Linked DNA regions of Lepisosteus oculatus. The protein of the gene in region 2 binds, or shares a complex with, the protein of the main gene of each other region. Links are inferred from orthologs where the notes say so. Each region holds a gene or a part of one and is shown on either strand. Other genes may lie near its edges.

The links.
Region 1: exosc2 (region 2) and exosc9 share a complex: the UniProt entries of both Homo sapiens proteins name them as parts of the RNA exosome core complex. The link is inferred for Lepisosteus oculatus from reciprocal best matches to the Homo sapiens genes EXOSC2 and EXOSC9.
Region 3: exosc2 (region 2) and exosc4 share a complex: the UniProt entries of both Homo sapiens proteins name them as parts of the RNA exosome core complex. The link is inferred for Lepisosteus oculatus from reciprocal best matches to the Homo sapiens genes EXOSC2 and EXOSC4.
Region 4: exosc2 (region 2) and exosc3 share a complex: the UniProt entries of both Homo sapiens proteins name them as parts of the RNA exosome core complex. The link is inferred for Lepisosteus oculatus from reciprocal best matches to the Homo sapiens genes EXOSC2 and EXOSC3.

The regions. Positions count from the first base shown.
Region 1 is NC_090696.1:10,752,760-10,760,520, forward strand, and holds the start of exosc9 (exosome complex component RRP45), read right to left. Parts: upstream 3,485-7,761; 5' UTR 3,411-3,484; coding exon 3,345-3,410; intron 1,989-3,344; coding exon 1,894-1,988; intron 904-1,893; coding exon 784-903; intron 1-783. UniProt on the Homo sapiens protein: Non-catalytic component of the RNA exosome complex which has 3'->5' exoribonuclease activity and participates in a multitude of cellular RNA processing and degradation events.
Region 2 is NC_090719.1:14,545,848-14,553,964, reverse strand, and holds the start of exosc2 (exosome complex component RRP4), read right to left. Parts: upstream 3,713-8,117; 5' UTR 3,669-3,712; coding exon 3,547-3,668; intron 2,609-3,546; coding exon 2,507-2,608; intron 2,191-2,506; coding exon 2,145-2,190; intron 1,088-2,144; coding exon 998-1,087; intron 445-997; coding exon 379-444; intron 208-378; coding exon 139-207; intron 1-138. Other genes in the region: prdm12b (PR domain zinc finger protein 12b), read right to left, coding at 7,448-8,028. UniProt on the Homo sapiens protein: Non-catalytic component of the RNA exosome complex which has 3'->5' exoribonuclease activity and participates in a multitude of cellular RNA processing and degradation events.
Region 3 is NC_090701.1:28,949,990-28,958,540, forward strand, and holds the start of exosc4 (exosome complex component RRP41), read left to right. Parts: upstream 1-5,312; 5' UTR 5,313-5,496; coding exon 5,497-5,667; intron 5,668-8,551. Other genes in the region: oplah (5-oxoprolinase), read right to left, coding at 714-828, 1,113-1,304, 1,530-1,700. UniProt on the Homo sapiens protein: Non-catalytic component of the RNA exosome complex which has 3'->5' exoribonuclease activity and participates in a multitude of cellular RNA processing and degradation events.
Region 4 is NC_090696.1:33,368,451-33,376,550, forward strand, and holds the start of exosc3 (exosome complex component RRP40), read right to left. Parts: upstream 3,556-8,100; 5' UTR 3,531-3,555; coding exon 3,318-3,530; intron 2,192-3,317; coding exon 2,042-2,191; intron 65-2,041; coding exon 1-64. Other genes in the region: myosin heavy chain, clone 203-like, read left to right, coding at 3,556-3,623; probable pancreatic secretory proteinase inhibitor, read right to left, coding at 7,717-7,762. UniProt on the Homo sapiens protein: Non-catalytic component of the RNA exosome complex which has 3'->5' exoribonuclease activity and participates in a multitude of cellular RNA processing and degradation events.

The DNA.
Region 1 (7,761 bases), on a different chromosome or scaffold from region 2:
CCCTTTGGATTAGACGTAAAACTGAGGTCCTGACTCTCTGTGGTCATTAAAAATCCCAGGGCTTTTCTTTTCGAGTAGGGGTGTAACCACGGCCTCCTGGCCAAATTTCCCATTGGCCCTTACCAATCATGGCCTCCTAATAATCCCCATCTATGGACTGGCTTCATTACTCTGCTCTCCTCCCCACTGATAGCTGATGTGTGGTGAGCGTTCTGGCGCACTATGGCTGCCGTCGCATCATCCAGGTGGGGCTGCACATTGGTGGTGGTGGAGGGGAGTCCCCATTACCTTTAAAGCACTTTGAGAGGAGTGTCCAGAAAAGTGCTTTATAAGTGTAAGCAATTATTATTATTATTATTATTATTATTATTATTATTATTATTATTATAATATCTACTGCAAAATTAGCACATTCTAGTTCCACAGTAATATATCAGTACATATAACTATAACACACTAAAGTGCATTACATTTCTTTTTAATGCATTGCAGCTCTAACTAGTTTGATATGTGGGATGTGTGTTGATTAATTATGTGTAGTATTGTAGGTCTAAGACAAGAATAATATACAGCATACAGTAACAACAGAGTACATCCAAAATGAAAGGCACACAGATAAGACAGTGACACTCACTATTTTACTGAGTTTCAAAATAACATGGGTTTCCTAACTTTTTTCTTTAAAAAAGCCACACTGTTTTGTTTAAATTTGGCATCCTTTGTTATTTGTCTGAATTTAATTCCTTATTAAAATTATATTTGAAGAGTAGCTGGGAATTATACCTGCTAGGTTCAAAAGCAGGGGAAGCCATCTGTGATAGCTCCAGGTTGAAAAAGAGAATTCCTTCTGTTGGGCGATTTTCTTTCGGAGCGACAAGTTCACAGGAAACTTGAGCCAACACTCTGAAAATAAGATAAGATCACTTTATTAGCCATATACAGTGTCTTTCATTATGAATTTGTCTTTTCACTCAAAAGGATGCAAAAATTCTTCAGTAAATTCCTAACTGGATTACTACAGGTAAAAATCACAGTTGGACAGGAGAGCTTCACAAAAAGTAAGTGATAAAGTATTTTTCACAAGCAATTAAGTGCTGTGTTAAATTAACAAGGTAATCACAAGATAACAAGATATACCAAAGAACATTAGATAGATAATACTTTATGAATCCCGTAGGGAAATTGATGTGGGACATTACACTTTCATTGTACATACCTGATCTGTGAGAGATAGATTTTTCAGCAATGATATCAACAAAAAACAACTACAGGACAAAAGTAAATGTAGAACTAGACCTTTGGCTGAAATAACCAAAATTTCACCCTTTAAACTTTGTCCTGTGAAACAAACAAATTCCTCTCATTATAAAACCACCTAAAGACTTAAAGTTTCACATTTGTAACTGCTACTGAAGTAGCAAAGGTATGGAAACAGCTCCTTTTAACAGCAATAAAATGTCTGCTGCTATCCTACAATGTGTGCTATCCTTACAATTCAGGTGAATAGTTTTCCAAGAGAGTTTGAGAACTGCTGCTGTACTTTTCACACTCAGCATCATAAAGAGATGTTCTGGTTCATTTACACAATACTTACAAAATCCATTCAAACACAAATCAAACTATGAATACATGTACTTTACTCTCTTCTCCTTAAAAAAGAAGACAAACTGTCAGAAATACATTCGTATTAATTATTAACACAGAATTGGTGAAAAAAGTGCAGATAGCAGGGAATGGAGCAATGCAGGCATAAATGTTCAAATTTAAACACCAATGTGCCTGAGATCACATTTAATTTGACTTGCTGAGAATTAAGCATTCAACAAGATTTCTTATCTTTCATTAAAACTCTTAATTAATCTCTCATTAATTGTGGATTAGACAAACGTTTACCTTGTTTTTCCAAGGTCAACAATGCAACATCCATACTGTGTACCAAAGGTGATCTTGATATTTCTGTAATCATACGTTTGTCTTCCATCTAGGCGCTGAAACAAAAAAAAAAAAAAAATGTGATATTTATTTCAAAGTTCCAAAACTTTATTGAGTTATATAGATCATATATACCACACCGTTAGAACTAAACACAGGCTCATGTTAAAATACATCTCACATTATCTCAAAAACTAGAATAATGGACTAAATAAAAAATCATTTTCAATTTTGTTTTACAGAGCCAACAAATATTATTTTATTCTTGTACGCCTTTCTCAGTTTCATATCTTTATATATTGAATGGTAGTGTTGTAAACAAAGAGATTATTTCCATATATATTGTTTATCAATTAAACTTGTAACAATAAGCATGTTCTTTTTTCCCCTTGATTTTACAGTGTTTTATCAGATATATTCAGATGTCAGGTATATTAAGAGAGTAACAATAAGAAGAAAAACAGCATGAAAGTGTATTTTTTAACAGAACATTTAAAATCACCAAATGAATCTAAAATGTTCACAATTAGGAATCTAGAAGGAACAGTATGGTTACAAAGTGGACATGACGAGGTTTTTTAAATTAGTTTCTATCTACAAATGAATGTGTCATATTTACTGAAGAGCCTTAGAAATGAACTGAACATCATACTGAAGATTGACTCAGGAGCTAATGTATTTAATAAGCAACAAAATGCAAAATTATATAAATAATAAATTATGCACAAAAATAATTTCAGATATTAACAAATATTTCAGATTATGTAGTTTTTTTGCAGATATAATTTTTTGCTGATTTACAAGAGATTACCTCTTTTTACATTCACATTTTGGGACCTATTTATACAGCTGGATCTGCTGGTGCACTCTGGATATAATCGTCATGTTCAAGAGTACTGCCGCGGCACGCAAACCTGTCAGGAATCCAGAGATTTAACCACTACCACCTCAATATTAATGCAGGCCTAAGAAATGTCCCAGTAACTAACACCTTCGAAAACTAACAACAATATCAATAGGTCACAACCCTGTACCTCTGCCGGGTTTCATTCCCGCTGAGCTCTAAATCTCCAGAGCTAACCGATGACTTTAATGGTCTGCTTACTTGTTTAAAAGTATTTCGACGCGTCCTAGGGTGTCTCACTTTGGGAAATCACAAAACTATGCACTTTTTTAAGAAATCGAATGCACAAAGTGAAGACTCCTAAGGGTAAGTTACTTAAGAGAAAAAAATGAAATATGTTGATTGCGTGAGTATTCAAAACCCTGATCTCAATATTTCCTAAAAAACACATTTAGCTGAAATTACTGTCACACGTCTCTGGTTAAGTCTTTAACTATGCACAACAATCTTGCCCATTCTTCTTGGCAGATTTGTTCAAGTTAACTAAAGCTCTAAATTATAATCATACCTTTTTCTCTTTTATGGCTGTCAGGAGGAACTGTCGTTCACAATTGGACAGCGGCGTTTCCCTCATTCTGAATTTCTGCAGAACCTGTAACTACTACACATGGACTCTCTGTTTCCCCTCACGACATGCACTAGGCGCAGACGGATGACGACACACATGATGCGACGTCAATGTGAAGTCACGTGAATGTGAAATGCGTTTCGGTTGTAAGACACTATACTATATTAAATACTGTATAGATTTCTTTGTACCTTATATATCTTTGATTTTACGCCACTGTTCTCAACTTTGACTTATTTGACAGCTGCTTTCTTGGCGTCACGTTGCCATTTCAGCGTGCACATTTTCCGTTAAAAACGTGCCTTTAATAAAAGGTAGCTGCGGGAGATCGCTAGTACAAAGTCAAGGAGGGCCTCGAATAAATTCAGTCACCTATTTTAATAGAAATAGTTTTGTCTGACATCTATGAGATGTAACCTCCCTCCGTAAATGTAGTCTGGTTTCACTGAATGTCATTGTTTGCTTAAAGCACAGTGTGGCGTCAAATAGCCAGCAGTCTTCCGCTGCCAATGCAGTGATCCGTATGATACACAGTCACGGAATTTTAAATACTAAATTCTTCATCTACTACCATTAAAACGTTTTAAAAAAAACAGCGTCTGTTTAAACCACAAATGCAGTTCGATTTTTTATTTATTATTTTAGAATTCAGAAGTAGGAAGTTGTAATCGTATACAGTTGTCCGTACACTTAATACCAAATGCGTAGTTCAATTTTCCCAGAGCTTTTATAAAATTTAACGTGAGGTAGTACCTGAGATGTTTGAAAGGGACATTAAAACAGCTGCAGAAAATAATTTCAATTGTCATCCGTCTTCTGTGTGTCAGCCGTTTTGTCTACCTGTCAAAATGTTTTTGGGCTGAATCATTATGTTGTCCTTATATTAGTGCATTTTGTGTCCTTAAACTTCGAGACACACGATAACTTTCTGAAAAGCTCATGAAACTTGGAAATTTAAAATAACCAGCCAAACCTGAGGTACGTGTTTTTGGATTTGCTCCACTAATTATCAAACTGCTCTAAATCCTCCATTATGTTCCTGTACTAAAGAAGGACAAAATAACTTGTCTAAATGACTACAGACCAGTTGCTCTTACGTCTGTCATAATGAAGACTTTCAAACGCATGATACTTTGCTGTCTCAAAACTGTTACAGATTCACATCTTGATCCTCTACAGTTTGCATTTAGGGCCCACAGGTCAGTGATGATGCTGCTACCATGGGTCTTCACTACATTTTGCATCATCTAGAACTCTCAGGTGTGTATGCAAGCATTCTTTTTGAGGCTTTTAGTTCTGCATTTATTACTATCATTCCAGAATGACAATAAATTGCAATAGTTGAATGTTCCCCTTTCCAGTGGATCTTCATCTTTCTCCCTGAATAGAAGGCAAGGGCTGTGTAGGTATGTGAATACAGGGGGTCCTCAAGGACGTGTGCCTTCCCCATTGCTCTATTTGTTGTACACCAGCAAGTGCATTTCCAGCGACTCTTCTGTCAAACTAAATAAGTTTGCAGATGACATCACCCTTGTAGGTCTCATCACTAATGATGATGAGGCTATGTACAGGAGGTCTGGATTAGTAGGTATCATGGTGCTGTAGCAAGTACCCAGAGCTTAATACCCTTAAAAGAGTAGAAATGGTTGATTTCTAGAAACATTCTCGAAAGCCTCTCTCCCTGGTAATTCCTGGTAATCAATGACGTGGGTGTCTGTGGTGAACTTTTTGGGAATTATGAACTCTAAATACCCTTAAATGGGACATGAATATCACCAGTATCAGAAAGAAGCAGAGCAGAGAATGTACTTTTTGCACCAGCTGAAATCTTGGGTATCTCTCAACTAATTCTAATACAGTTTTACAGAGCCATTATAGAGAGCATTCTGACTGCCTCCATAACTCAAGTATGACAGTACCTGTGTCAGCATGCGTGGGCTGTAAAGGAGGAAGTAAAGGTTTATTCCATGCTAAAAAGAAGAAAAGAAACACAACATTTTGGCCATGGAGCCTTCTTCAGGTGTGACACAATGTTTCAGCCATGGAGCCTCACATTTGTGTGAAAGAAATGATTGAGCACATAATAAAACAAATCATTTTTTAAAGGATGATGTATCCGTTCAGAAATGAACTTTACAGTTTAGCTTTACAGTTACATACATGTGAATGCACAAAGTAATAAGAAAATGCTGTTATTGTTATTATTTGGTGTTTGCTGTAGCCTCCTGCTTTACAGACCAGTGTTATCAGTCAGACAAAATGTAATGAAATACAGAGTAGAGTCTTGGATTGTCAGTGTTTTGACCAGTTTTTTAAATATTGTATACTTCACTTTGATCAATAGAAAACATTATCTGTTTCTATATATCTAATATTAAAACAGTCCTATTGTAGGAGTTGTAGTGTGCTGTCTGACATAGTGATCTCTTGATTAGAAAAGAATATCATGCCACTGCAGTCTTTATGAGTTTTGGTAGTTAATTTAACTCAAAGTATTTTAGGATAGCTGCCACATTACCTCACTGAAAGTCATCATTTCAAATTAACTGAATTAAAAATGTTTAGGCTTAAATTTTAAGGAAAATCCAATTTAAAGTAATTGATATACGCGGTCAGAGGAATTATAAAGCCTGGCACACAGTGTATGTGTCCCATAATCGCCAGTGATGATCACTATCAAGTGAAAAAACTGAGTTGCTTCAGTGTGGAAGAAGAAAATCTTCTGGGCAGGTTCAGCCATGTGTGATGGGAAATACAGAAATGTCACTGTGTGTGAGGTGCAAGCAAAGCAATCTGAAGCATTTAATCAGACTTTGGGTAACTACGTTTTTAAATGGCATTTGAAAAAAGTACATGTTTTTCTCAGCTCTGGAGTGGAAAGATCTGAAGGACATGTTTGTTTAGACCAGCATAGTGCTGCAGTGGTTAGCATTGCTGGGGCTCTGGGTTCAATTCCTAGAGTGCTGTCTGTGTGGAGTTTGTCTGTTCTGCCTGTGTTTGCATGGGCTTCCACCAAGTGCTCCCATTCAGTAGTCCAAAGACACACTGGGTTAATAGGCTTCTGGGAAAATTGACTCTGGTGTGAGTGTGTGTGTCTGTGTGTGTCCTGCAATAAACTAGCGTCCCACCAGTGTGTATCCTGCCCTGTGCCTGGTGGGATAGGAGTCACCTCTCCGAAGACCCAGAATTGGATAAACAGATTAGAAAATGAATGGATGTTTGTTTATACACTGTTTAGTTATTACTTCTTCTGTACAAGCACCTTAATCCCAGTGTGAGGATGGTCTTACCAACTATTCCTTGCCTTTGAAGGAAATCCATTTTCATACACCTGGATCTTTATGAGACATTTATTAAGAAGAAAAAAGAGAAATATCATCTACTGCTAAGCAGGCAGCACTATGAAGGTAAACTTGTTTTTACATGCAAAAAGGAGCAGTGAGTTTATTTTGGTTTCCTCTGAGCAGGATTCTTGTCATTTAAATGGTGTGCCAAAGGCTTTGAATAATTAAAAAAGAGACTGCAAACATTCACTTGGCACAGACCTAGCACTTTTTTCCAGCTGCCTCCATTTCCCCCCAGTTTGAAAGATTGTGTTCAAACAGGCGTTAAGGAAGGTCATCTCTTCTGTTAACAGTAGCACAGTGAGGACCTTGACCTTGAGCACTGTTATAATTTAATTCACCCATGGGAGACTTCCAGATTGAGTACAACACATATTGGGCTTTCATAATTAGTACCCTCCGTTGCACAACAAAGGTTTTGCTTGCTGTTGAATCCTTGGGGAAAACAATATGTAATAATGGTCATGAGATCCCTGCAGAGGGAGCCATAAATATTGATAGCACCATGTAAAAACTATTGAAATTGGTTTTATAGCTGTAATTTCCGGGCTTCATCTGGCAGCTGCATATGAATTAATGATTACCAACAATGTGGTGTCCTCATGAGTACCATGGCTCAAAACTGAAATGATCATATGGTTATTTACTGGATTCAGCACAAAGATGGCTGTCGGTATTTGTATTGTTTCTGTGTTTCAGACAAGGTTTGTTGGTAAGTGGTAAAAGAATCCAAAATGACAAATTGAAAGGTTACAAAATAAGGCCATCTATCCCATTTGGTAATTAGCAGCCAGTTGGTTCAAGAATCCAAAGGACTGAGTCTGTCAGAGCCTTTGAGGATTAGGAAGAATCGAATCAGGCTGCCAATGTAGTATTCTTGCTAGAGATACAAAGACCTGGTGGAGCAGTGCCACTCAAAGAGCTGGAGGGCAGGATACACGCCCATTGAAGTAGACTCCAAAGACGCTGAATAGGACCTACCACTACCTGGGCATCACTGGTGGTCAGAGGGA
Region 2 (8,117 bases):
TACATTCACTTTTTACAGTCTCTTTAAGCTGGACTAAATACGAGACTAATTCGAGACGGTTCCCACTGTAAGAGAGAAACTATATATGTAGAGTGTTCAATAAAGTACAAAGTGCTTGACTGCTCAGAAGACACTCACCTTGCCGTACTTCAGACTGCGTGTGTGGAGGGAAAGAGCCCCATCAGAAAAGACTGACTGCACTTCTGCCTGCGCAGCACTGAGTCAAGGAGCTGATCGGTCACGTTGCTCTGCGGACACAGTGTAACCGCGTGCCTGGGAGTACTGATCCTCTCCACTCACAACCAGATGGCAAAGCCGGGCTCGATCACTTCATCCCACCTGCAGCGCTACTTATATTTCCCGAAGAAGAAAGGATACACTGATCAGGTCTCCTTCTTGCAGGTAGTCTCTCATGGTCAGCTCATCTTCTGCCGATCTCCTTCTCTGAAAAACACCCAACAGTTAGGCCTCATTCCCTTCACACATGGAGGCTAATTTCATATTTTACAGTGCCCCTGAATAGCTCAGCTGCAGAAGAGTGCAGCCTGTGTACATTTGTGGCAGATTTCCAGAGTATATGAACAGACATCGGCGACAATCATTCCCAGTCAGCTCAGCACAATGTGATGCAAGCACTACAGGGGTAGGGCAGGTTGTACTTCGCCCAGGGTTTAGCAGTAACCCATACAAGCCCGTTACCTCTGCTTGCTGTGTGATCACACCGAGCTGCACCGGTTTCCACTTAAATCTGCTGCTCGGTCTGTGGGTCTGCAGATTAAAACTGCAGGCCATGTACATCCACACCTCTCTTGGGTCTCTTGGTGTCCCATCTTTTTGGATTCAACACCGATCTCTGTTGTCTGCCCGTAGCATAGTAAAACTCCCAGGGAAATTGTATTTTTTCCCACAAAACAATCTCCTGGCAAGTCCTGCACAGCGACAGAGACATGCCAAGTCCCCGGCGCTCTTCCTGCTGGGGGCAGCCGCCTGGCCTTACCAGCTCTCCCCCGGGGAGGTTCACTGAAGACAGCAGCAGCACGGAGTCCAGCCGGGAGTTCGTCTCCACCTTCCACCGCTTCTGCTGAACCTGCAGAGACCGGCAGGCGGACGTTACTCCCCGTGGGGCTGATCTCCGCCCAGAACACCCCAGCCCCTAGGTCACCCCAGGAACCTCCGAGACTTCTGGGATTAACTAGCCGAGTCGCTTTAAGAACAAAATCAACTCTAAATGCCAATACAAGGCACACTACTGCAAAAGGCCTCTGAATAGGTCTTCCTGCACTGCTCCGAAGAGAGTGAGTGGAAAGTCACTGCGCTCCCGTTACGGCCAGCTGCTGAAATTAAGTTGCGAGAATGCCTAAAGTCCATACAGAACTGCTGCTGCGACAAGGAATCCGCACACGAGGCTACAGTCTTGCATGGGAACGCACAGAAAGCACGGCAGTGATTCAGATGGGCCTGTTTTTTAGAATGAGTCCCACTGCATGCCGCCTGCTTCCGATGGGAGAAATCTGCGAGTGATGACTGTCTAAGGTGCTTCATAACTTTGACTATTCAGCATGGAGGCTGCAGTGTGGTGGTATGGGAGTCCATCGTTAGGTCTGTGCACATGGGTTTCTGTAAAAGCCAGGGGCACCATGACAGCACTAGACTCCCAGTACTGACGGAATGCATGATGATGCATCACATAATGGCGATTTAAAAAGAGGAGTGATGAAAATACATTACAGCTTTCTTGCAGCCCTGAACTAAAACCTACCAAATGGCCTTTAGAAATGAGACCCAGAAGAGCAAATAAGGAAGAGACTATGGACAGCAGAAGCTGCAAAAGAAAGGCGCAGTATTCATTTGAATGGCTCCCCGGCGTGCTATGGAAGGTATTCCTTCTACAACTGCAGTGGTGATCAAAGCAAATGGCGGGCATCGCCCTGTTCGGCACACTACCATCCTGTCCTTTATCCCGTCGGGCTTTTTTTTGCAATAAAGCGTCCGTTCGACACGAGATTAACTTACTCACCGACGGCTTGTTGACCACCGATTCGGCGGAAGATCTGCGAGTGAAACGGACCCGTGCACACTTGTGCGCTCCTGTGCACCAGCACCGCTCACCACAGCACACCCCACCTTCTCTCGCCGCCACGTACCTCAGTGACCCGGCCGACGACCACGTCCCCGACTTCGCCGTTGAACCTGGGCACAAAGACGAGACGCACACAGGGAAGGGTTTCTGCCTAGAGCCTAGAAGAGCTGGCGAACGCACCAGGTGGGTTCCAGGCCGCCCTTTATCTGGACCCTGCCCCCACCACAGATTGGAAAAACACTCGTTTCATCACGCAGCCCCCAGCCGGGGAGGGAGGTGAAGCTCACGGTCACCAAGGAGATGTCCGCGGCCACGTCTTGAGTCGTCTGCGGACACGAACTCGCCGACACGCGCCAGAGCTAAGGCACGAAGACGGCAGCACGCCCTCCTAAGAAACCGCGGGCGTGGCGCTCCGGCGGGGCTCACCTCGTCTTGAGGGGTCTCACACAGATCAGCTTGTTGACCCTCTCCACCTCTCCAGCCACCGAGGCGGTCAGCTTCTCTTCGTCCATGTAGGTGCCATGTCCCCTGCAGGGAGACAGAGCGCAGACTCAGAGATCAATCCTTTTTTCCATCTGTTTCATCCAGTTCAGGGATGCGGAAGTGCAGAGGCAGGGTACACCCAGGACAGGACACCAGATCTTCACAGGGCACACAGACACAAACATATGCCCACTCACACCAGGGACAGTCGTACTAGACACCAACTCACCTACCAGCATGTCTTTGAACTGTGGGAGGAGACTGGAGCACCAAGAGAGAGAACATGTAAAATATTTTACCAATACTACGGTTGCTTTCAAACGCCTACACCGAGGAACGTCTTGTGATCCGTGTTGTTGGTGAACGACGCTGCGTCAGGACCGCACGACAGCTCTTCCCACATTTCAGGATGAAGTTAAGGGAGGTAAAGGATCCCGAGCACAACTAGTCAATGTGAAACAGCACATAAAACCCCAATCTCTAATCTCACTGAGCTACCGTAGTCCACACTAAACGGCACACTCGAAACGTTCCACCGTTGTTTTATCAGCGACATCTGCCGGACGAGTGTACAACAACAAGCGAGAAATCCTCTACATTAAACCAGATAGCGTTTTCTCCGCTCGTTAATCCAATCTTTACATGAGGTTTAAGGGTTTCATCTGTTTTTTATCTCCTCCACCCTAGGTGACCGTTTTTCAAAACCAAAAAACAGTCAATCTGCCAGCGCTACTTAAAATGCTCTTAAACCCACTGACAACATTAAAGAAAGGTAATGTCAACCCTAACTGCTCAGCTTTCATTCAGCTGAAAGGTATGGTCAAGGCAGAAACTAACTCAAACAGATCTGCATACATTTCGGCGAAAATTAACACAACAAACTTTATTCCTGTTATTTTGCAGAGAATACACGTGTACGTAGACATCAACTTCACAAAGGCCTCTGCGAACAGTCTGGAAAATATTACAAAACCTTCAAATACCTCATGAAACCAGTGTCTGTAGTAATGACATCTCCTGGAGCTACAAGATGTTTTTCTTCGATTGCAGATAAAGAATCTGTCACCCGTTTACGTCCACTAGGTAGTCTGATATCAACAGCCATCTTCAATTCCTCTGTGTGCACACGGTCGCGGCTCTGTTCGATCACGTCACGGCGCTTATTGTTGACGTCATCGCTCTCCGGGCACCGAAATGCAGTGCAGCACTACATCACAATAAACTTTTAATGAATTAATCACCTGGACGTATTATGTAAGTTTTTTACGTACTCGAGTGAATAAAGAAATCTACAAATACACGTCGATGTTAGAATAAAACAGCGAAATTGAGTAAATCACTTCTGAATTATAAACTTGAAAACTGAATCTTCTTGTTCACTGATTCAAGATATTTATTTAATAACGTGAGTTATATCTATATAGATCACTGTATAGAAAACAACAAGTCAGGGAAAAATAATAACAATAAAAAATAATTCTCGCCTGCAGCTCACAACGGGCAGCCCCACTGAAGCTCAGCAGGTGAGCCTGGTCAGTACCTGGATAGAACACCTCCTCGGGAAAAACTAGGATTGCTGCTGGAAGAGGTGTTAGTGGGGCCACCAGGGGGCGCTCACCCCGCTGTCCATGTGGGTCCTAATGCCCCAGTATAGTGACGGGGACACTATACTGTAGAAAGGCGCGGTCCTTCGGATGAAACGAAAAACCGAGGTCCTGACTCTCTGTGGTCATTAGAAATCCCAGGGCGTTTCTCGAAAAGAATAGGGGTGTAACCCCGGCGTCCTGGCCCCAAATTTCCCCCTGGCCTTTACCAGTCACGGTCTCCTAATAATCCCCATCTCTGAACTGGCTCCATCACTCTGCTCTCCTCCCCACTGAGAGCTGGTGTGTGGGGAGCGTACTGGTGCATCATCCAGGTGGGGCTGCACACTGGTGGGGGTGGAGGGGATCCCCATTACCTGTAAAGTGCTTTTGAGTGGAGTGTCCAGAACAGCGCTATATAAATATAACTAATTATTATTATAACAGATCCCAGCAATTCCATTAATACAAAAAGTATCGCGAATTTACTGCCTCCTCTAGTGGACACTTAGGGAAACGTAAGTGAGTTTGGAAGGACATTTTTTTGGAATAATAATTGTATCTGTTTCATTTACCAGGAATGATATTCTTTGTTTTATATGGGACGTTACATTTTGCTTACTGTGTGAAACTCACATGATACCAAATACTAAGGTGTCGGCCTACATGTCTGAGCAATTCTGATTATTATTATAAGTATATAAGTGTAAGCAATTATTATTAGTAGTAGTAGAAGTATTATTATTATTATTAATTATTATTATTATTATCTAAAGTCTTAAATAGGCAGCGGCGTCAGCATGTGTAGGCTGCAAAGGAACAAGTAAAGGTTTAGTCAATGCTGTGAAGTTTCGGCTGTGGTGCCTTCCTCTAGTGTGGTGGACAGAGGAAAGCCAGCAGGAGATGAAGCTGGGAGTGGACAGGAGGCAAGAGCAGGAGAGAAGCAGTATCACTGCCCAAGATGGGCAAAGTCGAGAGAGGTGTGAAGTCAAAGCCTGCAAATGAATAGAGAGGACTGGAAGGAAACGAGTCTGTCGGTGAGAGAAGGAGAAGGTGTGATCCTAATTTCAGGATAATCTGGGTTTCTGATGTCTTTCTGTGATAGTTTGAAAGAGTTTTGAAACCGTTTTTAAGTTTTAATCGACACTTCAATGAATTCCTTGAGACTTGTGTTTGTGTTGACCTTGACAAGAAAAGAATAACATTTTCACAGGTCTCTACGCAATATGAGAAGACAATATAAAAGCAAAGGGCGATATACCACATATCAAATATAGTGGTACAATGCACTGCTAAGACCACGTTTAGATTACGGTGTTCGATTTCGATCACAACACTGAGAGAAAAGGTTTTTACTGTTTGGCAATCAATCCAGAGAAAAATATCCAAATACCAGGATCAAGATTAGGAGGGCATGGTGGGTCAGTATTAGCATTGCAGCCTTGCAGCAGTGAAGACTTGGGTTGAGTTCCTGGAGAGATGTCTGTGGGGAGCTTGTATGTTCTCCCCGTGTGTGCATGGGTTTTCTCCGTGTGTGTGTGTGTGCCCTGTCATGGACCAAGCTTAAAATGACTACACTGACAGGCTGAAGGATCTGGACCCTTTTAGTCTTGAAAAGTGAAGACTACACCTGACATGTTCAGATTGAAACATAAACATAAGAAATATAAGACAGAGGGCACAAGTGGAATCAACAGGAAAGTGCAATTGGGACTGAGAACAGGAGGCATCTCTATACACAAACAGTTGCAGAAGCATGGAACAAGCTACCCAGGTATATCAAACTCCCTGGGTTCTTTTCAGAAACAACCGAAGGAGATCCTCCAATAATTAGCTACTGGAAACCAAACGAACCAGATGAGCCAAATCTCTCAGCTTCTTTTGTCATCTTTCATATCTTCTTACTTTCCTGGCTCATAATCTTCTCTTAGCGCTTCAATAAGCCAACACTGAAAATGTTTAGAGGAGTTCTGCAATGAGTGCATATTGGTGGTTTTGAAGAGTTACAGTAATAATACTTACCTGAATGTTAAAAAAAAAAGATTGAAATAATCATGGGTGTTTCATGAACACAAAATTATGCATGTAGTAGTTTATTTAGAATGCAAGATGAAAAGTACAAAGTTATTTACATCTGCATACATATACTATTAATATATAATACCAAAGTGTTGTAAATACTGTTTTACATAAATATGTACATACATAAAGTGACTATTTAGTGGAAGTATAGCACAGTTTTAAAATTATATTTACATTTCATATATATTTTAATCATTTTATATACATCTTCTGTTTCTTACGATTCTTTTTCTCCCGTACAGGAAGGGTTTCATACAGGTGTGGAGACACTAGGGGCGCACCAAGCCACACAAAAGCAAAGGAGCATCGCAGCTGAGAGCCATCGGAGAACGATAACATCCATCAGAACAGTTTGAATACAAACTTAAACCACATCAGCTCGCCGAACACTGTGTGTCATTTCTCATCTTTTCAGTAACCATTATGGTATAGAAGAAGTTCTTATAATGTGTGTGTTGTTTTAAAACAGTAACATATTCTGAACAAGATCTAGAGAACCGGATGCATTAAACAAAACAGCATTGTTTTCTCACACAATGTAGCACATTTTGTATACAAGAAGTATACCACCAATTTTCCCATTTATACCCAAGGTATTCTAAGAAACAGTATGTCTTTGACATACCTACTGCAATCCATAATTTGACTGACAGTTGTTTTTATAAAAAGTTTTCTTGTTAAGACATATAGACAGGTTCCATTGTGTTTCCAAAAGAGAGGAGAGCAATTTAGCTAACATCTAATCCTTCATACATACTGTATTTAGCACAGCTGTCACTTTCTAAAGCATGGGAGAAAAAAATTCAGGCACAGCGCACCCCCCTGCCATTAATTGTACCGGTGCTTAAATCGACTACTGTTTTTCAAAAGTCCGCTTTAAGCTGATGCGCAAAGCTTGCGGCAGCGCGAAACCGAACTCCTCGCGTCTAGTCAACGATTACAGGTGGCGGCGAGAGGTCTCATCGCTGAAATAACGTGCCGGTCCGTGAGTCTCTCGGAGCTGCCTCTTGTCCGCGTTCACATCCGCCGCGTAGCACTGCCCGGCCTTCGGGTGAGCTTGCGTTTACTTTCCCTTTCTGCCAATGCGCACAAGGTTAAAACGTGGTCATGTGCGACCGAGACGCGGGGCCAGGGCGACGCGGAGGCCGGGAGAAAGCGAAGCCTCCGCGTGTCGCCGGGGTTCGCGACCTGTTTCTCTGGGTCCCCAGGCTCCCCGCCATCACAGGACCATGGTGGGGATGTGGTGCGCCAGGGACACCGGGTGAGGCACGGGGGGCATCTGCGGCGGCGGGGGCGAGTGGGCCTGCAGCGAGACCACGGCCCCGGTGCCGGAGGGCCGGTGCCGGGCGCTCTTCTGGTGCGCCCGGAGCCCGGCCAGCTGCGAGTAGGCGCTCTGGCACACGTGGCACTTGTAGGGGCGCTCGCCCGTGTGGAGCCGGACGTGGTTGCGCAGCGTGGAGGACTGGCTGAAGCGCCGGTTGCAGAAGCGGCAGACGAAGGGCTTGTCCAGCGTGTGGATCCGCATGTGCGACCGCAGGTTGCTGCGGGAGTTGAAGCCGCGGTGGCAGATGACGCAGCGCATGCGGCTGGAGGCGGCGGAGGACGAGGAGGAGGAGGAGGCGGAGGAGGAGGAGGAAGAGGAGGCGGACGAGGAGGAGCCGTCACACAGGTGGAAATCGTCTGCAAGGGGAGAAACGGGCGCCCAGCCGTTAATCGCACCGTCGTGTGAGAGGGCTCCTGCTAAATCCAGACTCCTCTGACGCAGCTTGCGATCGAGCACAGCGGCGGCGTCCTCTAGAGCTGTGTAGCGGTTAGGAGTGTCATCGTGGCGCAGATTGTATAACACCACAAAAGAAACTAAACTGGCCATACCATGCACCCATGTGACT
Region 3 (8,551 bases), on a different chromosome or scaffold from region 2:
TGATTCAGAAGCCTCCTTTTTTTAATCTTAGTCTTAAATTGGAAAAAAAAGCATAATTTAAAAGTTTTGGCTTACCTAACAATTCTCAATCATATTTATTGACCAGTTTTGCATGTTCGGCAGAAAACGTGTACAAATCCTCTTTGAAAACTATCACTGTGGACGTATGTGTCAATACCTGTGTCATTGTGTATATACTGTATCTGTGTCAGTCAGTCCACACCTCTGCCAATGTATCATTGTCCTTGTTATTCACCCTATACCTGTGTTAGTACCTTTGCGAGTGTGTTGAAACTTATCACAGTGTCAGTAAAAGAGACTCTTTTCTGTACTTGCCCATACCAACCCATGTCGGTACTGATGACATAGGTCAGGACTTGCCTTGCGTCAGTGTGTTGGTGTGTGTACCTGTTGTATCTCAACGTGTTGGTGTAGTTGTGTTGATGTGTCACCTTGTCTCCTTCTCAGTGTGTCAGTGCTTTTGACAGCATCAGTATGCCAGTGTCAGTGTGTGTGCAACAAAGGTTTGTTTTGCAAGTACACAGTGGTGGTATGTCAGTATTTGTGATGATGTGTCAGTGGGCCGGTATCTGTGTCGGGGAGACTGCAATAGTGTCAGTGTATCAGTTACTGTGATAGTGGGTCACTGGGGCAGCACCTATGATGGAGGATCATAGGGTCAGGTCTTTGATTACGGCTCACTGGGTCAGTACCTGTGACGGTGTGCTCTGGTGCTCTTTTGGGCAGCTCGCAGCCCTTTTGTTTCAGCACCACCCTCTCGTCCACCTCGATCACCTCCTCATACAGCATCTCTGCCATCTGTACCTCCTTCAAGACAACAAACAGCATCACATGTAGTCACACTCATCTTCAGGCAACAAGATCCAGATATTGCCATCTCTTTATTGTAGAGATCTTTGGATAAAAATGCCATTCATTTAAATTAGTTATATTAAATTTGAATTAGATCTAGAAACAGCCATGATAAATAACACCTGAATCACTCTAAATTTGGAAGCTGAGGCGATCCAAAGCAATGTCTGCTTTTGAAGTGACAGGTGGTTCACACACAGCATCACCAGAGAAGAAAGTAGACTCAGTGTGGGGCTGACCAGGTCAAACAGCGCAGGTCGGGCCTGGGTCCCAATGTGCAGCAGGTCTCGGAAGCCACGGGTGATCAGGAGGGCAGTCCTCTCGCCCCGCCTCTCCAGCAACGCATTGGTTGCCACTGTCGTCCCCATCCGGATCCAGCCAATCAGAGAAGGATCTAAGGGCTCATCTCGGGGGAATGCCCGCCCAGTCTCCTGGGTTATGGGGAGACAGATACACCAGGTGACCAGCCAAGAAAGCAGACAGACACAATCAAGACACATGCCAGAGGTCATAGAGATTATTAGGACAGAATAGAATTCCCAGTTCCTCACTCCCCCCACCCTCTTTTTCTGACACTATTCCTTCTGCTTCTACCCCTTCATTTATTGACTCCCTCTCCACCATCCAACCATCTCCCGTTCTCCCCTGTCCCTCACCTCCTCCAGAATTCGGCGAATGCCCTCAGTCGGGGCGTCACGGTAATTCTGGGGGTCATGTGAGAGGAGCTTGAGGACTCGCTCCCGGCCTCCGGGCAAGCGGGCATACACGTCCGTGAAGGTGCCACCCCGATCGATTGCAAAGTCAAACTTCTCCAGCACGGCCGCCATGCTGAGGGAGAAGAGGAAAATCGAGGAGAGACGGCAATGAAGGGACCGATTGTATGTAAAATAAGCAAGACAGCTGAGTATACAGATATTGTTGTGGCCAAGGGAAGAAATGTATAAAGTGGTAAAATATTGAGGTAAAAATAATAATAATAATAATAATAATAATAATAATAATAATAATAATAATAATTGCTTACACTTATATAGCGCTTTTCTGGACACTCCACTCAAAGCGCTTTACAGGTAATGGGGACTCCCCTACACCACCACCAATGTGCAGCATCCACCTGGATGATGCGACGGCAGCTATAATGCGCCAGGATGCTCACCACACATCAGCTATGAGTGGGGAGGAGAGCAGAGTAATGAAGCCAATTCATAAAGGGGATTATTAGGAGGCCATGATTGGTAAGGGCCAATGGGAAATTTGGCCAGGACGCCGGGGTTACACCCCTACCCTTTTCGAGAAACGCCCTGGGATTTTTAATGACCACAGAGAGTCAGGACCTCTGTTTTACATCTCATACAAAGGACGGCGCCTGTTTACAGTATAGTGTCCCCATTACTCTACTGGGGCATTAGGACCCACATGGACTACAGAGTGAGCGCCCCCTGCTGGCCTCACTAACACCTCTTCCAAAGTTTTAAAGTTTCCTTCAATTCAGAAAGGTCCTTCACTGATACTAGACAATACTTTGTTATTGGGTGAAGTATTTTTCACAATATGCCCATAAATACTGGTCAACACAGGCAGACCTGGCTGCCTAGAGAGGACAGGCTGTTTTCCCACTGTCAGCAGGACAGAGACAGAGATGCACTTTCTGCTGTAGTGCACGACATACTCTGGTATCAGATAAAGATACCTCCTTAAAATAACAAGTTTAATTTCCATTCCTGCTAGAATCACAACAGTTTCCAATCCAACTGCGGGAGAGGATTAGAAAACAAATATAGAGCTGGAAGCCCAGTAGAAGATCAACTATCACAGACTCAGAAACGAAGATCGAGCTTCCCAAATAATATTTTTTTGTTGTTGTAGATGACTGAACATGCCTTTGAACTTGTTATTGCTTTGGCAATTTCATAATTGGTTGGTCATGCCAATAAAGCTCATTGAAACTGAATTTGAATAATTGCAATGGACTATACTGCCCAGCCACACAGTATAGAAAGATACCCCGGGATCTTAGACACATCAGCCTGGCCCTGTAATGAGATGACCTACAAGTTTAATTCTGTAGCTTTTTACTCCAGGACAGGACAATATTTATTCATTGTTTGAAAGCAACTGTACATTTTTAAGGGTAAAAATTTAGCAACAGAGTATTCTAGCAATACTGTGGAAAAGAAAAAACAAAATTGATGCCTTCTCTTACACAGGGTTTTGAAAGATATGGTATTTGTATTTGTATTTGAATGCTCAAAAAAGGGACAACAAAGAACTTGGTCCCGCAAGTTTAGTTTTTCATAGTGCCCACAGATGCATACTACTGTTACTGCAATAGCCAAATCCACATGAACAGAGATTAGAAGCCCAGTACTTGCTATGGCAAACTGTTCTCAACAGTTATCAGTTAAAGCTTTGTGAAAAAAGGTTAATGTGTAACATTACACTTATAGGTAACTACAAAAGTGTTTTTTAGAGTTTGCACATAGAGTAGATAACATTCCCTTTCTATGTTAGATGACATGGGCATTAACTCAGCCTCATAGCTCTTGGGTCCTGAGTTCCATTCAGGCCTGATGTGCTTTCTCCATGGAGTGTCCATGGTCCTGTGTCTATTCTGGTTTCCTCACACCTTCCAAGCATATACTGGTAGGGTTACCTAGTGTGCCTGTTTGGTTACCTAGTGAGTGTGTGTCCTGTGATGGACTAAGTGATTTTTTTTAGATTACATGCACTGCAGGAATCAGTCAGTAAGTTCTCAGAATACTGTTTTTTCAGTGGTTTTACTGGTTTTTCTTCCAGCTTGTACTTCTGTCTTGAGCCATGTGCTACTAATAACAGCCCTAGATTGCCACAGCTACTATCAGGAATACATGACTTTCTGCATTAGATTAAATGACATTCCTTTTTAAATGTCTCTGTAAGAAGTTCTGCATTTCTTTCACTGCCGAACTGTTGAACCTGTGTTGTATAGTTCTGGATCCTGTATTACTCTACTATGCATGTACACTCTAATGCATAACATATGCAAATCTCCCAGTCTTTCCCAGCAATGTGCCTTGGAACTCCTGACACTTCTCAGACACTGTCCAGAGGGACCCCAGAAACAAATGTAAAAACTTCACCCCAAAAACCAGTAGCTTCATATAACACCCTCAAATATTCTACAGCAGCTGTCCTACTACATATCACATCAGGTGGACCAGGCTATATTAAAGTGTTAAGATAACACCTCAATTATCTTAACATTTGCTCTTAGATCTTTAACACACACAGATGTTTTGTTTATTTCTCACCACAAGGATAGCATACCTTACAGCAGTGTCCCTGGACACCAATGTGAGGCACTGGTTTGGAAATTCTGGTGCACAGTCCCCCCTGCTGGTCCACAACCATTCACAGCAGCAGCCTGGCTTTCCTTGGAGGTCTCCTATCCCAGTACTGACCATGTCTATGCCTTCTAAGCTCTGCGATTTGACAGTTTTGCCAGTTACCCCTGGTCCAAGATTGGACTGCCATTTTTTTTTTACATTGTGTATCTTTCCCGATATCTCAACCGTGAAGAAAAGTAACATTCTTGACTTGTTGCTTAATTTCAAAGTAAATTCTACTACTTTTTTATTTCTAAACAGTATACAATTAAGTTAAAATTAGTGATAAAGAAAGATACATCGTTAACGTTGACAACATCACTGCCAGTTTCCAGTTTATCAGTTTTCTCTGCTTTGCGCCGTACGCAGATTGTACCCAGTCAAGTCAGACTTACATCGAGACAAGCACTGAACACGAAGTATGAGTCTGGCTCCAACACGGTCTGACGTCTCGCAGTCTCGGTGTGATTTTCTGATGAAATCGAGGTTGTTGAACAGTGGAGTGCAGTGAGATCTCCTTTACCTGCTTTGTTGACACCAAACTGTACCTGTCTGCTTTACGTTGACCTCGGGGACTAACTAAGCTCCTTCTTACACCTCCACAAGCTACCTCTCTCTCTCTCTTGCCACAGAAAAGATCTTATCCAGACTGCTCTGGGAGAATGCATGAGACCTGGCCGGCCAGCCAATCAATTCCCGAGCCCCGTTCCTCCTCTCGGCTTTGTTATTAAAACGCTGTATCTGCGCTTTCAAGCTTGCAAGAAACTTTGGGTTCAAAAGACAACGTTATCATGCATGGTGGGTCACTGACACCCCCAGGATGTGAGGAGTTTCGAACGTCTTTAATATCCCCGAGGGGCAAACTGTTTAACGTATTAACCTGATTTGCTTATTTTACTGTAAACATTTTTCTTTGTCGTTCAAAATGCATTTAAAAAGTATTTGCATCTTCTATATGTTGTGTAATATAAGCGTCACAAGCTAAAAGTAAAAATGTTTAATTTTAATGTTTTTAATTGAGAGACTCAAACAAAAACGTGTTTAATGGGACATCACGAAGGGCAAACATGAAATCCCAAAAATGCGGAACATTACTGACAAGGATTTTATAATGAATATGCAATACACTACGTAAGACAAGGAAGATGACGAACAAGATGACAATATATAGAGCGACGGCAAAACAGAAGGATTGTGGGTATAGTAGTTTTTTTTTTATTTGACGGGCTGTATCACTTTCGCACATGAGTTTTGAAACATGGCCGGGTTAGAGTTGCTGTCCGATCAGGGATACCGGCTGGATGGGAGGAAGCCTTCCGAGCTCCGCAAGGTGCAAGCCCGCATGGGGGTCTTCGCGCAAGGCGATGGGTCTGCCTACATCGAGCAGGGGAACACCAAGGCGCTCGCGGTAGTGTACGGACCGCATGAGGTGAGTCTCCTGGCAGGCAGGGAAAGTAGCCGGGCCCGGGGTGTGTGTAGAGTAGGCAGCCTACTGCCTTTCAATGACTGGCATTAATTTCATAGAGGATGATCGTAACGTTCGAAGCTCCTTTGTGAAAGTGATTTATCATTTTTGATTAATCCGATCGACGTTGCCGTTGATGCACAGAGGAAGTTACATGCAACGTCAGGGGTATGCTCGAGACGATTCAATCTGAAAGCTGTACAGTTAGGTTGACCGTATACAGTTTGTTCACATGGACTATTTCAGTAAGAATAAGACCTGCTCTTTGAACGAGATTACGTTCACTTTTTTAGTTACGTAATGCAACCTTCTTAAATTAACCACAGACGAAGTTATTTTAAATATGAATTCGTTAGTTGCTGTTTCAGTTCTGCATATACTATGCATATGCTATCAGTCTATTTTCTAAACACTTTATGCAATACAGTGTTGCAGAATGGCCTGAACCTATCTCGGCAAGCAACAGGAGCAAGGCAAAGTACACCCTGGAATGGATACCAATCCATCCCAGGATGCACACAACACACACACACAGGACCGATTTTTTCTGGACAGTTGGAGGAAACCCACAAGAGGCTGATTGGAGAACATTCAAACTCCACACAGAGATGAATCCAGGAATTGAACCCAGGGCCCCAGTGCTGCAAGGCAGCAATACAACCACTCTGTTACTGTGCTGCCCATGCATATCCTAATATGATCCAGGTAGCTTTTTAGGTTTTATAAATAAGCCATCTACAAAACCTACCTGTAGTGAATTCTCACTTTCATTGATCAGTGGGTTTAACAGCTGATGGGTGTTGTGAGTTATTAACCACCAGTATGTATCTCTGCAACATTTTCATCTTAATTTGCATATGAATTATTTTTAGTTTCAGGCAATTTTAAAAACTTATAGATGGGCTGAGCAGTGGCTCTGTGGCTAAGGACCTGTGCCTGTTGCTGGACGGTTGCTGGTTCAAATCCTGAAGCCCCCAGAGGAATCCTACTCCATTGGGCCCCTGAGCAAGGCCCTTAACCCAGCTGCTCCAGGGGGGCTGTACAATGGCTCACCCTGCGCTCTGACCCCAAGCTTCTCTCCCTGTCTGTTTGTCTGTGTCTCATGGAGAGCAAGCTGGGGTATGCAAAAAGACGAATTCCTAATGCAAGAAACTGTACAGGGCTAATTAAGTGATGTTTTGTTACACTGTCTGAAAGTATGCTTGGGAATACAGTTATATGGAAACTGTACAGTATAAACATGTATAAGTGATCTCTGTGAGCAGCTGGAACTCTAGGTAATTTATTATCTTGTCGAGGGTAAGGTCATATTATCCAGTAGGCACAGCAGGTACTCTACCTAGGGCACAGGAAAACTAAAAAGCCTGTGAAAAATGTTTTGACCATTTTTCTATATCTATGATAACAACTATAACAAAGATCCCTCCTTGAATATATATATATAGAAATTATAGGCTATCTGAAAAAGCATTGGAGATGATGCTGAGAAACATCTGTGAAACTGAGCTATAGGGCCTGACTGAGGTTAAATACACACAGACAGTGGCACAGCAGTCTGTGCTTCTGCACAAATGGCACCTCAAGTCACCATTGCCTGTGAAGCAATGAACAAGAACCACATCGTGATGGAATTTAAGTTCTTTGATAAATTGCCTTGTTGCTGAGCACTTGAACGTAGAACAGTGAAACAGCTGTGTGGGTACTCACATGGAAGTATGCCACTGTATACGTAGAACATCCAGACCTTCTGCAGACAAGACTGACCAGTCCATTAGGAAAAATATCACAGGGGTTTCACTAGTGGTGGCTGTGTGAAATGATCTGCAATTGAATGTAACATTAGCACTTTGCAAGCAAGGTTTAAAATGCAGTACAAAGACATTAGAGACGTCTGGTTATGCTTTTGGCAGAGGCAGGAAAGGGAGCGGACAGTACAGAGCAATACAGTGCACAGGAGGTAGTGGGAGATCTGCAGATCAGGTATCCTGTAGTGTCGTCTGATCTGCAGAAATGTTAGCCTTCCAGATTCCGAACAGTGAAGAGCTTAGCAGGTGTCCCTGGGTCTCTCATAGCTTGTGCAGTGCCACTGAGGTAATGATACAGTATTAGGCTGACCTCATAAAATATGAATGATTCTTTCGCCTTTTAAACTTCAGAGTTACATTAAAATAAGCCACTGTTTATTTATTTCTGTGTTTTGTGCTGTTCTCTGCTCCAGTGCTTGTTATAGTACTCAAGGTCTGCTGTACGGTGCTCTGGCGATTAGTTATGAAAAGTTATCAGTTATGAATTGCCAGCAGCCATATCACCCCGCAATTCACAACTGGCAACCAACTGAAGCTAAGCAGGTGTCAGCCTGGTCTGTACCTGGATGGGAGACCTCCTGGAAAAAACGGAAGGTCGTTGCTGGAAGAGGTATTAAGGTATTAGAGGGGCCAGTAGGAGGTGCTCACTTTGCGGTGTGTGTGGGTCCTAATGCCCCAGTATAGTGATGGGGACACTACTGTGGGGAAAAAAGGCACTATCCTTCGGATGAGGCATAAAACAAAGGTCCTGACTCTCTGTGGTTGTTAAAAATCCTAGGGTGTTTTTAGAAAAGAATAGGGGTTCCCCAGCATCCTGGCCAAGTTTCCTATTGGCCTTTAGCAGTCATGGCCTCCTAATAATCCCCATTTATGAATTGGCTTTGTCACTGTTCTGGCGCACTATGGCTGCTGTCACATCATCCAGGTGGATGCTGCACATTGGTGGTGATGGAGGGGTGTCCCCATTACCTGTTAAGTGCTTTGAGTGGAGTGTCCAGAAAAGCGCTATATAAGTGTAAGCAATTATTATTACTTGTGTGGTG
Region 4 (8,100 bases), on a different chromosome or scaffold from region 2:
ACACCAGCTCCGGCTCCATGTCTTTATTCGCAATTATAAACTGCGAATACACCAGGTCTCCAACCTATCAGGATATTGCAACAGGACAATGGTTACTAGATGTCTTTTTTAAGCATAACATTTGCAAAGAAGACAAGGCTATTTTATGTATGTATAAATGATCCAGGAACCTCATCTGGCCATTTCTTGAAAGACGTCAGGATATCAGGTTCAACAACATGGCTGGGTACCTTGTCCCAGACTCCCACCACCCCCCCTGTAAAAAAGCACATCCTGTTCTGGTTTTCACATGCACTTCCCTTCAGCTTCCACTTATATCCTGTGGTGTTTAACTGTTAAGTGCTATATCCAAAATTGCTAACACAGATTTAGATAATGTGATTCACAAAGCATCCAAAAGCAAACATCCTTTTCTATAATGTAAGAACTGTAAATGTAAAATTAAGGCAATTAAGCTAATAGTCTTCTCCAGCTATTTTATACTGAACATTTAGCTCAAACAGAAAAAATGTATTACCAAACCTATTTTGAGGAAGATTCTATTAATACCTAAAACATTTCAATTGTCTAAGTTAAACATCTGTTACCGAACCCTTGATCTAACTCTCCCCGAGTTGATGCCTGCTTTCAAAATGAACAATAGCATTATAACGTTCTGCTGTTCAAGCTTTATTTTTGTATGCACCACAACTCAAATCTTTAATATGAACAGAATATATTCAATTGACATTTTTTATTTCAATAAAATTTACTCCATTTCCAGAATAGCTTTACAACTCGGAACGAAAACATCTTTGGTCCCACGCACAGGCTGGATTACACTCAAACTGAGATCTTCACTTCAGCTAGGATGATGCTTCATTAGATTGCAAACAACTGAATGAATCAACTTACATAGCGCCTTTAAAAGTGCTTTACAGAAAGTTCTCTTTTTCGACTCGGAAGCTGGAGATCTTATGCTACTTGCGAAACACAGCAGTTGAAAGGCAACCTCCAACGTGCTTAGGAATTGAAACCAAAAGATTGAAGTCAGGGGTCTAATTATGTAATAGAGCAAAGCTGAAATGAAGTTGGGAACCCCTACTACAGAAGGTGTGACCTAAGATAACTGTAGCTCGTGATGGTAATATATAATGGCATATCCACAAAAACAGATTTGGGGGTTTTAAATTGCCTTTAGGGTTGAAATAAGACACAGCGAGACATGGACATTCTACTCCTTCTTCCTTCTTCTATAGTAGACAAGAACCTGGAATTACACAGCCCAAGAGCTGGTCACGATAGAAGAACTGGTGGTGTAGGGAGTAGTCCAGCTGCTCCCAAAAGGTATGGTGTGACGGCTGCTTTCTGAGCCCGCACCCACCTCACCCACACTGCAGCGCCTACTCAGATTCCCATCTGGGACTCGGAACACCCACAACACATTTTTGTTCTAATGGCTTCAAACATTGTACTTTTGTTTCCTATTACTAGACAACCTATTATATTTGAGAAAAACTAATGACTAAAAACTTCCTGAAACCCGTTTGAAGAGTTATAGCCTAATCACAGAAACGAGCTACAACTTTGCTTAAGTAGCACTGACAAAATTCTGCAGTTATGTCTCTGTCATTGTACTGCAGGAGACAAACGCTGCCAGTTAAATGTCGGAACCAAGCAATTTATTTATATGACGCTGCATGGCTTTTATGGTCTACATAAAACAGTTTCTTTGTAATACACAGATAAAGATTAGCTGCCATGAGAAGCCTGTCAGTATGATTTATTTTTTTGTAGGAACATTTTTAGCATAAAATGTAATTTAAGTTTAAAACCAAATTACTCTGGGTCTTTTTTCTTTGATTTTAAAGCCTGTGCACTGTAGCTTTTTAACCATTTTAACGCAGTAGCTAACTTGGTAGCGGTAGTACTCCCGCACTCCGGCGGACAGAACAATTTGATCACTAAGTGCATCTACATATGGTAACCTCACAGTCTGCCCCCTCCCCAGAAACGTCCAGTCTACCACACAGCCCCTGTACTCGTACTACAGAGCACGTACCTGAACATTCGGCCTGTTTCGTTTCGTTGCCCCTTCAAAAGCCAGGTAGGACAGAGAAGCTTGTTCACTTCCGCCAACGTCGACCTTGAAAACGTCGCCGGACTTTGCTGTCACAATACCAATGACACACTCCCCCTTCGCCGGGACGTACTGAAATATAAAAAAGGTATTTCTCACAATGCCAGATCTGTAAAATACACCAGACTTGTTTTGCCTGGGCAAAGCCTGCTGTTTATGGGCAAATCAGTCCGAAGATGTCTCATGGATGTCTGGTCTCCTGTTGAATGCAGCTGTATCCCTCATAAATCAGGGGAACATTTGTCATTTTCCTTTTAAATAGTACCTTTAAGAGCAATATTCTCAAGGCACTTGTAAAATATAAAAAGCACGTGTCACAGTAAAATTAATGAGCATTACACGGCAGAATCAGAAAAAAACTCAATCACAACCAAATAACTGAAGAAAATAAGGATAGATTTAAAAGCACCCAGTGTGGCTGAGTCCCTGGTTATTCTGAGATGGTTATGGAGTATTGGGGTGCAGCAACAGAGGGCCCCGTATTTGCCAGAGTGTGGAATAAGAGTGGAAACACAGCAAACCAGAAATCAGCTGACAGGAGGCCGCCTGGAGGGGAGGTAACAGTCTGCTAGATACTGAAGAACCAAAGCACATCTAGTCTTGAACTCAAGAAGAAATATTTCAAAATAAGAAAGGTTAAAAATACCATTCGCCCCATCTAGCACATTTGGTTATCTTTAATCTTAAACCAGATAGGTCAGCTGTAAACATTCTCGTTAAAAGCCCACAGTAGTACTGTGAGAGCATTTTACACCTCAGGCAATCATCTTTAGTTAAAGCAGCATATACAAATAACATTCTTATATGGTAAAATATTAAATTATATCAGCATGATTAAACAAATCTAAAAGACCTAACAGAGACCCGTCTGATGTACTACGTGTTTTAGGTAATAGTAAATCGAACTTTGCTATTAGTAGTTTGTGACTATGCAGAAGAAGCGCACTGCAGACAGAAACAGGTTGACAATATATGCAGGTGAATACTGGTCTCAGAAACGAGATGTGTTCTTGTTCTTGTGTAAATGTCTACATGAATGACATCAACCACGTGGGCGATTGCAAGCATTTTCATATAGATTAACTTCTTTAAATAACTTAAAAATAATTAAACAAGTGAACTTCTGTTGTTCATACGTTATACCAAACATTATATTTTACGCTCAGAAAAACTGCTGTGATGGATATCCACTCTTTACCCGTTTTTGCTGGGAATCTATCCAGTACAGATTCGGCTCCTTGTGACGCAAAATGCCACTTTTGCAAACAAGGATTTCATCTCCATTACGGCGCAGCCCGGGTCCACAAATAACTTTATCTTGTATATTACTTTCGGAACCTGGTGATTCAAACGAAAAAACATCGCCAGGTAGTAAAACCTCGCCAACTCTTTCTTTAAAGCTGTCCAGCATTGCTTCTGTGTTTTTATCTCAACAGTAACACGCGTTTCCGGCGGAGGGGAAACAGTGTTGCACGCAGAGCGCCCTGCCGGAAGAAGCGGTTGAGATCTCCGCGCAGCGACTGCGGCTCTGGTTAAGTGACGTCACGCATCAGTTAGCTGTTGTGCTGCGGAATTAGAAAAGTTCCCTACAAGTCAAAGAAAAAGGAACACGTGAAACGAATAGTTTTGAAAAAATACAATTCATATCAGGGCCTTACCACTTGTTTATTTGGAGTCCTCTGGTTTCTTCCTCATTTTCATTCTGGTAAAGCATTTCTGTTTTACACCACGGATGCGTTGGTTAACTCATTTTTAATTTTTAATTAAAAAACGGGGGACAATTGCTATTGTTCGCATTCTGGTGTTGTCACACGCTTACTTGCCTTACTCCGTGAATCTCACTAACTGTTCTTATACATAATAATAATATTAATAATAATAAATATAATGATAATTACACTAATTTGGTACTTTACTAGACCTATACAGGTAGGTAATAGGGACTCCCCTCCATCACCAATGTGCAGCCCCACCTGGATGATGCGACGGCAGCAGTAGTGCACCAGTACGCTCACCACACACCAATTATTTCATAAATGGGGAGTATTAGGAAGCAAAGATTGGTAAAGCGGGGGGGGCTTTAGTCAGGTTAAAATAACACCTGTACTATTTTCTAGAAACGCCCTAGGATTTTTAATGAGAACGGGGAGCCAGGACCTCGGTTTTACGCCTCATCCCAAGGACGGCACATTTCTTACAGTATGGCGCCCCCGTCACTATATGGGGGCGTTAGGACCTTCACAGACCTCAGGGTGAGCACCTTCTACTGGTGTCACTAGTAACAGCTCTTCTAGCAGTAACCGTACCTTTCCCAGGAGGTCTCCCAACCAGCTACTGGCCAGGCTCAAACCTGTTGAGCTTCAGTGGGTTGCCAGTTGTGAGTTGTAAATTGCAGGGTGACATAGCTGTTGGTAATAAAGCCTGTGAGAATTCTATGGGAATACACGGGTTCGCGTTAGAAAATAAATGACAACGTCCATAGAATAACTATTTATTTCTTTGTTTTTGCTGGAGTCGATTCAAGCTGTTATTGATGTTAGGACCAAAAAGTTGTGTAGCACACTTGGAATCTGACAGCTAGATCTCTCATACCCTCAGTGTCTCTTTCTGTTGGTTCCCAGCCGCAATTTCTCGTTGGCTGCGGCCAGGACAGGCTGCCTGACATCATACAGCCACAGGAGAGAGTAAAGCTGAGCTGAGCAGGTCTATGCAGAACTGCAGAAATCTGCGCAGAACTTCAGAAATCTGCGCCAGAGGGCTGAGATTATTCAAACCTGACCTGCAGCGACGTCTGTTGTATCAAACAAAAAACAGCACTGCAGTACGAAAGCGCGTTCCTGTTATCAAGGAAAAGGTATATCCCATGTGTTGTCTCGTAATTACGAGATAATTTACTATGTACTAATAATGTACCTTCTCGTCATAACACGATAATTGTTCTCGTAGGTACTATATGCCAAAGATACTTTGAATGTATGAACAACCTAATACATTGTGCAATGACAGCGCACAGAAGCGCAGTTGAAACTTTGGGTTTAGAGTTCATGACAATGTTCAACGCTGCAGACGGTGCACGCATGCGCTTTCGACTTTTGGTTTAGATACAATGTAGTTACTAATTTGTACCTAATGTAAACACAATCATTATAACCATAAGAACACTCAGATTTATCGTTAAACAAGGAGTATAGCATGCAATTGAATCCACTGCTTAAAACTGAAAGTCAACTAATATGTATTGAATGACATATTATTTGGGATTCTGCTTGTGCTTTTAAATACTTCTTAATACAATTCTCTCCATATTTGTATATAAGTTAAATGTGTCTAATCTCAAACCTTATACTATAAGATCAAATTCACACACACTACACTTCTAAATCTAAAGATGATTTTAAATTTTCCACATTCGTTCTTAAACCACAATACAGATCAAGGTTCAGTACTTGGTGTGCCCTCCATGGGCCTTTAGTAAAAAGCTATGTTCTGTGTTATGTCTTGTACCTGCCCGCAGTGTAAACATGCCAGATGGGACAATAAAGGAATTAAATAATTTAGCTGAGTATAATGTAGTGGATATGTTCACCTAACACAGAAAAGGTCCTCAGTTCATAACTGGGTGTAGACAAGCTGAATTGTCAATTGGCCTGGGTTTGATTCCTGGGCAACACAAGACTCCATCCCTACTAAAGAGGCTGAATGGCCTTCACTAATCCGTAATTATTCTTATGGGTTTATGAGATCTATTGATGCTGACAGGCCTATGACCACAAAGAATTCGACACCTACAGTAGCTACATTTAAGCTTTCCTCAATGAACAGGTTCCAGCTGTTGAGAAAATCCAGTCAAACAACAGTAAAGGTCGTTGAATGCAAAGAGATTTTTAGGCAGAATGGAAACTTTCTTCAAAAATGCGAAAAAGAGTCTTGGAGCATAGCAGTGCTAGGTTTTCCTCTTTGAAGCTGAATCACAGAGCGATCCAGGTTCCAGGGAGGTAAAGAGAGGAGTTTGAGAGCAACAAAGTGTGAAAAGGTTGGCTAGATAATTCAGGGCAGTAAATGTAACAACTCCCTTATCTGCAGAAACCTGAGGCTTCATTCCTTTCTGTTTATAAGAGTGGTTACAGCGATGAAGTAATATTGGAGTTGGGCAATTTAAGAGTAAACAGAAAAAAGTATGATTGTAAATTTACATTAGGTATACATACAGTACATTTTAAAAAAGGTTTAGTATTAAGTAAATATGAGTTCAGAGCAGGTCAAAGTTTAGTTTCTTTGTGACTGCAAGGCTGCATTATTTAATACTGTCTTTCCCTGAGACTCTTTTAAAACTAAAACGCTTCATTTTAGAAAGATCATATCTACCAGATTAGACAGTCTTTTATAAAGCTACTGTATCCAAGATCTTCTATTTACATTCACGATGTCTTGCCATTAGATGTTTTGGCTGAGCTCCTCCGTAGCACAGTGACTGGTACTATACATTTTTTGGCCGCTACGAAATCACATTGTAATGGATTTCTATGCTTATTTACATTTTCGCTTAATGGTTTGAAGACAACAATTATAACTCCAAAAGATTTTCAGTTTTGAGTCATCGATTAATCACCTTTTTCGTGTGCATTTAGACCTGGCTTTTATTACCATTGACTGATAATAATAACTTTTATTTATAAAGTGCCTTTCCAATCCAAAGGATGCTGCACATCATGAATAAAGAAAAAGACAAGAAAAGTACAATAAAAGTAAATGAAAAAAAAACAAAAGCACACAGGTTTTTACAAACTGACTGTAGGCAATCAGACATAGACCTAATAGTAAAGGTAAGTTATAAGTTTAGATTTGAAGAGAGTTAAAAGATGTTGTCTCTCGCAAAAGTCTGGGGAAGGCCATTCCACAACATTGGAGTAGCTGCAGATAGGGCACGGTCACCAAAAGTCTGTGATTTAGTCCTGGTGACAGTGAGTAAATGTCAGGCCTCAACTGAATGGAGTCTACAGGGGGGGAGTGAAAACATGGAGGATTTCAGAGAGGTACGATGGAGACAGATTGTTTAGAGCCTACAAAATCAACAACAAGATCTTGTATTGAATACGGAACTGTATAGGCAACCAATGCAAAGACTTAAGTGTAGGAGTGATACAGTATGCTGCCAGAGCCTGGTGTGAGTTAGTAGCCTAGCTGCCAAGTTTTTAACATACTGCATTGCAACTTGTTAAGAAGAGGGTTAGAGAGCCCATATAGTAACGAGTTGCAGGAATAAAGCCTTGATGTTATGAATGCATGAATCAGGCACTCAGCATTGGACATTGATAAAAATTGCCTAATGCGGGAAATGTTTCTAAGGTGAAAGAAAGATGTCTTAATCAAATTTTTCACATGTGGGTCAAAAGATACTAGAGGATCAAGTAGATTCTCTGAGGCTGATCATTTTTAAGTCCGAATTGTTTAAAATCTATTCATAAGCAACACCTTCCCACCCCTCCAAGTTCACCACAAACACAAAGGAAGGATGCAGAAATCGGGTTTTATTAGTATTAATATCAAGACACATACAAGGGTTTTTCTCCTCGAGGTGAAAGGACACTGACCATTCCTCAGCATGTCCCATCCTTGGCGATTAAGATGTCCGCCTTGGTCAGCCTGGAGATACAAGAACATGAAACATATATAAATATGGCTAACACAGTGTATCAGCTGATTTCACACCTAGTCTTTATTTTACACATTCTTTAAAAGTGTTACACATACAATGCGTGCTTAGAAAGGCAGTGTGGCCTATATCACACTATATTAACACACTATATTAAACATTTATCACACATTGGATCCAGGCATCATTGTTGCGGTGGTTACAAATGACCAAAGAGCAAGGTTGACATGTCCATACATAGTTTTTACAAATTGACCAGAAGAAGACTTGTCTTACTAATGAACAAATATGAAAAAATGTTGTTTTTATTTTATATGCACTATTAATC